Linked DNA regions of Macaca mulatta. The protein of the gene in region 1 interacts with the protein of each later gene in a biochemical or structural test. Links are inferred from orthologs where the notes say so. Each region holds a gene or a part of one and is shown on either strand. Other genes may lie near its edges.

Region 1 (3,500 bases):
TCTGAATGAGAAAGGTGAGTGGGGTAGACAGTAGTACAAATTACAGCTCATATCTGACAGATTTTCACAAAGATTAAACCAAATCTACATAAAGTGTTTAACGTAGTACCTTTCATGTACTAAATGCTTTTTTTTTTTTTTTTTTTTGAGGCAGAGTTTTTTTTTTTTTTTTTTTTTTTGAGACGGAGTCTCGCTCTGCTGCCCAGGCTGGAATGCAGTGGCCGGATCTCAGCTCACTGCAAGCTCCGCCTCCCGGGTTCACGCCATTCTCCTGCCTCAGCCTCCCGAGTAGCTGGGACTACAGGCGCCTGCCACCTCGCCCGGCTAGTTTTTTGTATTTTTTTTTTAGTAGAGACGGGCTTTCACCGTGTCAGCCAGGATGGTCTCGATCTCCTGACCTTGTGATCCGCCCGTCTCGGCCTCCCAAAGTGCTGGGATTACAGGCTTGAGCCACCGCGCCCGGCTGAGGCAGAGTTTTGCTCTGTCACCCAGGCTGGAGGGCAGTGGCACAATCTCAGCTCACTGCATCGTTCATCTCCCAGCTTCAAACAATTCTGCCTCAGCCTCCCCAGTAGCTGGGATTACAGGCTACAGGCGTGTGCCACCATGCCCAGCCTTTTTTTTTTTTTTTTTTAGTAGAGACAGGGTTTCACCATGTTGGCCAGTCTGGTCTCAAACTCCTGACCTTAGCCTCTACTAAATGCTTAATAATTTTTACCTATTATTATCCTCATCAAAGTTCCAACTCCTAGTACAGCGCCTGACACATAATAGGCATAATTCAATGTTTGCTGTACTTTTCATGTGAATCAAGAGCATCATTTCTAAATAATCATTTGAAGAAACCACTTTCTCATTGAATATTGAGTAATTCACACAACTATTATGGAGAACTCACTGTGTGCCAAGCACTGTAGTGGGTTTGGGGAATATAAAAGTAAACAGTATGTGTTCTGCCCTTACCAAAATAATGATTTCGTGGGGGAGATATATACAAGTAAAGCAGCAGTTACTGTAGCTTCATAAGTATAGGGGTTAAGCAAAGAGAACTATCAATGTGCCAGCACATAGCTGGATGTGGTGGTGCGTGACTGTAATCCTAGCACTTTGGGAGGCTGAGGCAGGAGGGTTGCTTGAGACCAGCCTGAGCAACATAGCGAGAGCCCCCCTTTAAAAAAAAAAAAGCCTGTGTTACATAAAACCTCTCTAGTATTGGTTTGTTCTGCTTTTCCCCCTTACCCCACATGTCACCATGTAAATCTCCTTTGAATTCTCACCTTTGGGAGTTTTAGCTGTCTTCTCTTTGCCTGGAAAGCTGAGCTCTCTCCTTGTAATTCAGGTCTCGACTTAAATATGACCTCCTTGAAGAAGCCTCTCTTGGTCCTCCAGTCTCAAGTAGCTATCCAGTTTCTCTCTGCAACATCCACCTGTTTAAATTATCTACATGGCTTGTGATTTTTCAGGATGTATTACTGTTTTATGTTTTCTTATTTAGTTTCTGTCAGTTTCATGAGAGCAAATAATTTGTCTTGCTCTTGATCCTCCTGCTGCCTGCACCCAGCTTTTTTGGTGTTTTAGAAAAGGCTAGGCCAGGCGCGGTGGCTCAAGCCTGTAATCCCAGCACTTTGGGAGGCCGAGACGGGCGGATCACGAGGTCAGGAGATCGAGACCATCCTGGCTAACACAGTGAAACCCCGTCTCTACTAAAAATACAAAAACTTAGCCGGGCGAGGTGGCAGGCGCCTGTAGTCCCAGCTACTTGGGAGGCTGAGGCAGGAGAATGGCGTGAACCCGGGAGGCAGAGCTTGCAGTGAGCTGAGATCCCGCCACTGCACTCCAGCCTGGGTGACAGAGCGAGACTCCGTCTCAAAAAAAAAAAAAATAGAAAAGGCTATAAACTTGGAGTCAGGGGACCTAAATTAAATGTTGGTTCAGGCTGCATTTTTTACTTCCTGTGTGCTCTTAAGAAGTCATACCATCTCTCTGAACCCAGTTTATCTTGATTTTTGGTGCTGTATTATTAAAGCTTGCTGTATTATTAAAGCTTGCTGTATCTTTCGGGATCTCAAGACTTTCCTAGTCCAAGGCTGTGTACACTATGTTACCTTCCTCTTGTCTGTTACTGCATAATTAGTGCCTTGTCCTCCACTAGATGGTGGTGGCTTGACCCTGTGTCATCTTCTTGGATTTTCCCCTCCCTCACCTCACTGTTGTTTCAAGGTTTTGTATAGAGTCTATAGGTGGTGTTGAGTGATAGGAACTCCCCTTGGATTAATTGACTTCTCTGCTTCTTTGTAGGTGGATTGCTCAGGTTATGACCTGGAGCAGTTACACATCAAAGTGACTTCACTGTGCAGTCGCATAGAGCAGATTCAGTGTTACAATGCTAAAGATCGCCTAGCTCAGTCAGGTAAGCCTCTAATCTCCTCACTTTTTCTGCCTTCTTGCTTCCTGTTTTTATCTTACACCCCACCCTCAGTGCCTGCCACCGTTCTCTAGACCCATGCTCAGTGCTTAACTCTAGTTTTTCTCTCTAGACATGGCCAAACGTGTAGCCAACCTGCTGCGGGTGGTGCTGAGTCTGCATCATGCTCCTGATAGAACCTCCGACTCAACACCAGACCCTCAGCGAGTCCCTTTGCGCCTCTTGGCTCCCCACATTGGCCGGCTCCCCATGCCTGAGGACTATGCCATGGACGAACTGCGCAGCCTTACCCAGTCCTATCTGCGAGAACTCGCTGTTGGGAGCCTGTGAGCCCCAGACTCTTTGCATCACACTCACATGCCCGTTCACACTCACCACACAGAGGTTCCCTGCCTTGTTTGGATTGGCACTGTTTGCCATTCTCTGGGTTGGCTATGGCATCTGCCCTCCTTCCCTGCTGCCACAAGCAGCATCCTCCAGTTGTTCAGGGCTTTTCTTAATACTAAACATAGCATAAGGGCTTCTGGAACCCAGAAGAGGAGACAATTCTCTTTTTACCATCCTCAAGACCAGTGTTTTTCCTTTTAATAAATGGTCAATAAAGCTCCTTTGGCAGAATCCCCCAAAGAACCAGGGAATCCTTTTTCACCCCTAGCCATTCTGGATCTTGTGACCCTCCATGCCAACCAGCTACCCTACTCCTACCCTGGCCCTTTTATGCTAGGACTCCTTAGGAGGAGTGAGACAGGTAGTAATGGATCCTTAACAGGTGAACTATCCACAGAAGGAAGAGGGATCCGTCTCTTAAGTAATTGGTTAGTTAACACTGAATTTTGGAGGCAGAGGAGGGTTGGCCTGAGTTAGGAAACAGAATGGGATCTTTCTGACACACTTAGGGCAGAAGTGAATGCCTGCCATGGAGGGATTGATCTTCAGAGCTTCTTTTGTTCCTGCCTTTAGTGTTCCATGAACACCATACCTTTGCTACTACTATGTGCAGGAGCCCTTGGTCATATGTGACATGTCTATGGGAAGCTCCCAGAATTTGGTTTGGTCCCTGGTTTTCAGTCATCTT
Region 2 (2,264 bases), on another chromosome or scaffold:
AACTCCTGACCTCAAGTGATCTGTCTGCCTCGGTCTCCCAAAGGGCTGGGATTACAGGCCTGAGCCACTGTGCCTAGCCTTTTTAATTTTTTTTATTTATTCTTTTTATTTTTTTGGAGACGGTCTTACTCTATCACCCAAGCTGGAGTGCAGTGGCGTGATCATAGCTCACTGCAATCTTCACCTCCCGAGTTCAAGCGATTCTTATGCCTCAGCCTCCTGAGTAGGTGGGACTATAGGCACGCACCACCATGCCCAGCTAATTTTTTTTTTCTTTTGTATTTTAGTACAGATGGGATTTCACCATGTTGTGCAGGTTGCTCTCGAACCCCTGAACTCAGGTAGTCTCCTACCTTGGGCTCCCAAAGTGATGGGATTACAGGCGTGAGCCACTGCACCCAGCCCTCTGCTTCTTTTTCTCATATTTCTTGAGTTTTGCAAGGGATGGGATTCTGCAAAAGTGTTGGGGGGAAGAAACCCAACATAAGTGCTTTCTGTATCAACCATGAGTGGCAGGTCCCCTACCCGCTTCCCATCCTCACAAGCTAAATTGGAGGATTGGGGAGTCAGAATTCCTGTCACTTGTTCTTGTTGCTGATTGGGGAAATTTTTTTACTTCGCCCCTCTGGTATCAATAGCTAAGGAAAAAGTTACATTTGTTTCTTCTATATTTGCCTATAGGAAGAGGAATATTTGTCTCTTCTGTCGACTTGAGGAATGACACATTAGTCAAAGGAAGAATAATTTGATATAACTATATGCATTTAGTTATCCAGCTTGGACCTTGTATGATAGGGGTATAATAGTTGGAAATTTTGAAAAAGGATGTAGTCCTGCCATATGAGGGACAGGTGCATCAGACCGTCTCTTTTTTTTTTTTTTTTCTTTTTTTGAGATGGAGTCTCGCTCTGTCGCCCAGGCTGGCATGTAGTGGCGCAGTCTCGGCTCACTGCAAGCTTCGCCTTCCGGGTTCACGCCATTCTCCTGCCTCAGCCTCCCGAGTAGCTGGGACTACAGGCATCCGCCACCACACCCAGCTAATTTTTTTGTATTTTTAGTGGAGTCATGGTTTCACCATGTTAGCCAGGATAGTCTCGATCTCCTGACCTCGTGATCCACACGCCTCAGCCTCCCAGAGTGCTGGGATTACAGGTGTGAGCCACCGCGCCTGACCAATACCTTCTCTTTCTTTTATAGCGGATGTGATGCTGGTACAACCCAGAGTAGAATTTATTCTGTCTTTCATTGACCACATTGCTGGAGATGAGGATCATACAGATGGAGTAGTAGCTTGTGCTGCCGGACTAATAGGGTAAGTTATACCCTGCTTCTAAGAGCTGAATAGAACTTCTCATGGAAAATGAGAAACATGGAGTAAGGAGTTTTGAGAGTATCGCAGATGGCAACAATTCACTTCTTTGGCATAGAGATTTCTTTGTAGAACCCTTCATGTCCTGTTTTGAGTGTTCACATGATAGTTTATTCCAGACCCTCAAGGTCTCTGTATTACACCCCAATAAACTCTGATGTTGGTCAACAAATTGCCTCTGTTTAGTGAACTCTACTGAGGGTTTTATTTATCTTTGAATTATGCTAAGAAACCCATAGCACTGGTTTGGAAGGCTCAAAACATGATATTGGTATGGGGCCAGGAGCTCATTCTCAGCTGTGTTTGTTTTGCACAGGGACTTATGTACAGCATTTGGGAAGGATGTACTGAAATTAGTAGAAGCTAGGCCAATGATCCATGAATTGTTAACTGAAGGGCGGAGATCGAAGACTAACAAAGCAAAAACCCTTGCTACATGGGCAACAAAAGAACTGAGGAAACTGAAGAACCAAGCTTGGTAAGATCTTGCCTCCACTGTCCTCTTCTACTTCTTGGAGGAGGGAGGTATATTTTCTTCAGGCCATTCTGGCAAGCACTGCCTTCTGGCATTTTTTTGTTTGTACTGTTTCCCGTGTAGGTGCTTCTGAGTCAGGCAACCTCAGTTTTTCCTTGAGCCAAATGTTTGACTCCTCATAGTGATGGAGAGCAGAACTTTTATAACTGGAATTCACTGAAATTACCAGAGTATTTTGGGTCCTAATAAAATCATCAGTAATGTCATTTCCCCCTAATTCTCTTCTGTTTTCTATTCCTTTCCATTCTTTTCTTTCTTTACAGCAGTGCTTTTAGACGTTTTCTAGCTCTAGAGAAGATTTCCAAAGTCAAAGTTGTCTGGCTCCTACTTTGTTTTTGTGTGTGTGTGTTTTTTCTTTTT
Region 3 (3,500 bases), on another chromosome or scaffold:
GTGGAGACGAGGTTTCACTTTGTTGACTAGGCTGATCTCAAACTCCTGACCTCAGGTGATCCACCCATCTTGGCCTCCCAAAGTGCTAAGATAAGTGTGAGCCATCGCACCCAGCCAATGCGCTATAATTTAGAAGATATTTTTATTTCAATTCTTTGATATTGTTTGAATAGATGCCTTGAATGCCCTCTCAGCATGATTTCAGGGAGATACATTTGAAGGAAAGAGAAGCAAAGAGTGTTAAAATAGAAATTCCTTTAGGGCCTTTTACGGTGGCTCACACCTGTAATTCCAGCACTTTGGGAGGCCGAGGCGGGCAGATCACCTGAGATCGGGAGTTTGAGACCAGCCTGACCAATGGCGAAACCCCCTCTCTACTGAAAACAAACAATTAGCCGGGCGTGATGGCAGGTGCCTGTAATTCCAGCTATTCGGGAGGCTGAGGCAGGAGAATCGCTTGAACCCAGTAGACGGAGGTTGCAGTGAGCCAAGATTGTGCCATTAAACTCTAGCCTGGACAACAAGAGAGAAACTCCATCTCAAAAAAAAAAAAAGAAGTTCCTTTAGAAGATTTTTCATCGGCCGGGCGCGGTGGCTCAAGCCTGTAATCCCAGCACTTTGGGAGGCCGAGACGGGTGGATCATGAGGTCAGGAGATCGAGACCATCCTGGCTAACACGGTGAAACCCCGTCTCTACTAAAAAATACAAAAAAAACTAGCCGGGTGAGGTGGCGGGTGCCTGTAGTCCCAGCTACTCGGGAGGCTGAGGCAGGAGAATGGCGTGGACCCGGGAGGCGGAGCTTGCAATGAGCTGAGATCCGGCCACTGCACTCCAGCCTGGGAGACAGAGCAAGACTCCGTCTCAAAAAAAAAAAAAAAAAAGATTTTTCATCAAAGTTGTATAAAATGTTTTGGAAAATTATTATCTTTATTTTAGTACCACTCCAGTTGCTGAGAGATTTTTCACCAGTTCTACCTCTCTGACTCTAAAGCATGCTGCATGGTATCCAAGTGAAATACTGGATCCCCACATAGTGCTGTTAACATCAGACAACGTAATAAGGTAAATTTTATTTTTCTCTCTCTTGAAGCCTTGCAAGTGGGAAAGCTCTGTTTCTGTTTGCCAGTTAACAGCTCAACATAGAACAAAGTGAGTCATTGAATGAGTCTGCTTTTATCTGATGGCTGTTGTAACCCATTCTCAATCATAAGAATCACCTAACTGCCCTAACTTACGTGCCTTACTTACCACTATTCCTTCTCAACGAGTCTTCCTGCCTCCAAGTATCTCCTTTCCTAATCTGACACATTAGAATAATCTTTCCAAAACTCTTTCATCATGTCACCTTTTGGTGATAATGTAGCATAAAAGAAAGAGAATATAAGTATAAATTCAGAGATTTGAATTCTTGTCCCACCTCCTCTTCTGTTATCTTTGAGATCTTGAGCTTCTTTTTAGGGATGGGGGTGGCTCAGTTTCCAATCTTTTAAGTTGAGCAGGTTTGATTCAATAGTTTCTAAAGCCTCTTCTAAGCTTTGCACTCTATTATTAAATGCCCTAATGCTATGTAGATTTCTACTATATTATCAGTTAACTTTCTGGATCGTTAATTGGGAGGACTCAGCAGAAGTACAGATACCTTCAGTTTTATTTTTCTTAATCACTGCTTTTAACTGTGCTCTACTAAATCTTCCTTCACTGCTGAACGGCTCCCCCCTTAATGGTGTCTTGTACAGATCCCCATAGCTTTCTTGTTACTTCTTGTTATGAAAACAGTGTGTCCAGTTTAAAACTCTAATCTTGGCCAGTTGCAGTGGCTCACACCTGTAATCCCAGCATTTTGGGAGGCCGAGGTGGGAGGATCACTTGAGCCCCTGAGTTTGAGACCAATGTGGGCAACGCAGTGAGATCCTGTCTCTGCAGAAAAATTAGCTGGGCATAATGGCATGTGCCGGTAGTCCTAGCTACTCAGGAGACTGAGATAGGAAGATTGCTTGAGCCCAGGAGTTTGAGGCTGCAGTGAGCCATGATCATACCACTGGGTAACAGAGTGAAACCCTGTCTAAAGAAAATAAAAATTTCAAAAGCTATTTGATCTCAAATCTATTTCACAACTATGTCCTGGCCCTTTTGTAGGTCAGACCTGTGTTTTGTGGGATCAGAAGCGATTGGAGAGTGTGCGGTCTGCTCTTTCACTCTTCCTCTTATCCCAGCACTTTGGAGCATAGGGTGAAGTGTAAGGAATGGGCTGCCTCCTCCTTCCTCCAAATCTAACTCCTTCAGTGTGGGGTAGGGGAGTGGGATAGGTGAGGTAGAGATCTTACCAAACTGGTAGTGATGGGGAAGTATGCCTGATCTTGTTTTAATCTCGTTCCATCTGTCACCAGTGAACTCCGCTGATGTGGTAGTCTCTGTATAGATGGGGGTGTGTGTGTGTGTGTGTGTGTGTGTGTGTGTGTGTGTGTGTGTGTGTGTGTGTTGGAGGGCAGTGTTGAACTTCCAGCTCTCCCCATCACTGAGGAGCTCTGGCTCCCATTGGCTCCTGTCAGTTCTCTATGCCCTGAATCCTCTCTCAAGATGGGGTACAGTATACCTTATCTGCAGGGTGTATATTCCAAGACCCCCCAGTGAATGCCTGAAACTGTAGATGGTACTGAACGTGATATGTGTGTATTGCTATGTTTTTTCGATCTAATAACTGAGACAGCTACTAAGTGACTAAGGGGCATTCAGCTAGGAAATGCACCAGTCTCCCTTGTTACAGGTACCTCCACATCTGGCTCTTTCCTAGAGCCTTCCCTGCCCACCCGTTTGGCTTTGGAGTTCAGGGCAGAGAAAGAGGGGAGGGAAAATCTTCCCAGCACAAACATTATACTGTACTCCGAAGGACTCTTTGACATCCTCTCTTCTTAGTCTTCCTTTTATATCCTATGATGGAAAAGGAGATGGTGGGAAGATAACGTAGGTACAGTTCTTAAGCCCCAGAGGAAGTGTCTGGCCCCAGATATTGAAGGTTCTTTTTTAAAATATGTGGTACTTAACACTTCTGTTTTCCTAAGCTTTGGAGATTTTGGGCAATTTCAGAGCAAAAGGAAATTTTCACCGAATGCCCTGTTACACTTTCTTTTTCTTTCACTGTTCCCCAATACAACATTATTGTCTAGTATTTATGTGTATTTTCAAGTTAGTAACGCTTGTAGGAACCTAGGAAGACTGTAATAAATGTGTATTCAAATGGATCAAATTATCATGAAAAACATTTATTAACTACTTAATGTGGCATTTTATTGATATTAGAAGAAACCAAGTTTAAAAATTCTTAGTGGCGTCAGACAAAATAAGTGATTGTAAGGGACTTTGGATTTCTAAAATGACATTACTGGCCTTTTGAAAATTCTTTCCCTTTTTCACAATAGCCTTATATGCTGTGAAATATAGGTTACTTTAAAATAATTTTGGTTAAAAAAAATCAGTATCATACTTTACCTTGAGAAAATAG

Evidence for each region.
Region 2: the proteins of NUP98 (region 1) and KPNB1 form a complex in vitro, tested with the Homo sapiens proteins (3 studies listed by BioGRID). The link is inferred for Macaca mulatta from reciprocal best matches to the Homo sapiens genes NUP98 and KPNB1.
Region 3: the proteins of NUP98 (region 1) and NUP88 form a complex in vitro, tested with the Homo sapiens proteins (2 studies listed by BioGRID). The link is inferred for Macaca mulatta from reciprocal best matches to the Homo sapiens genes NUP98 and NUP88.

What each region holds. Positions count from the first base shown.
Region 1 is NC_133419.1:72,131,707-72,135,206, forward strand, and holds part of NUP98 (nuclear pore complex protein Nup98-Nup96), read left to right. Parts: intron 1-454; exon of another isoform or gene 455-1,609; intron 1,610-1,743; exon of another isoform or gene 1,744-1,889; intron 1,890-2,298; coding exon 2,299-2,410; intron 2,411-2,537; coding exon 2,538-2,755; 3' UTR 2,756-3,500. UniProt on the Homo sapiens protein: Plays a role in the nuclear pore complex (NPC) assembly and/or maintenance. NUP98 and NUP96 are involved in the bidirectional transport across the NPC. May anchor NUP153 and TPR to the NPC.
Region 2 is NC_133421.1:62,351,647-62,353,910, reverse strand, and holds part of KPNB1 (importin subunit beta-1), read left to right. Parts: intron 1-1,197; coding exon 1,198-1,312; intron 1,313-1,685; coding exon 1,686-1,847; intron 1,848-2,264.
Region 3 is NC_133421.1:6,911,484-6,914,983, reverse strand, and holds part of NUP88 (nuclear pore complex protein Nup88), read left to right. Parts: intron 1-937; coding exon 938-1,063; intron 1,064-3,500. UniProt on the Homo sapiens protein: Component of nuclear pore complex.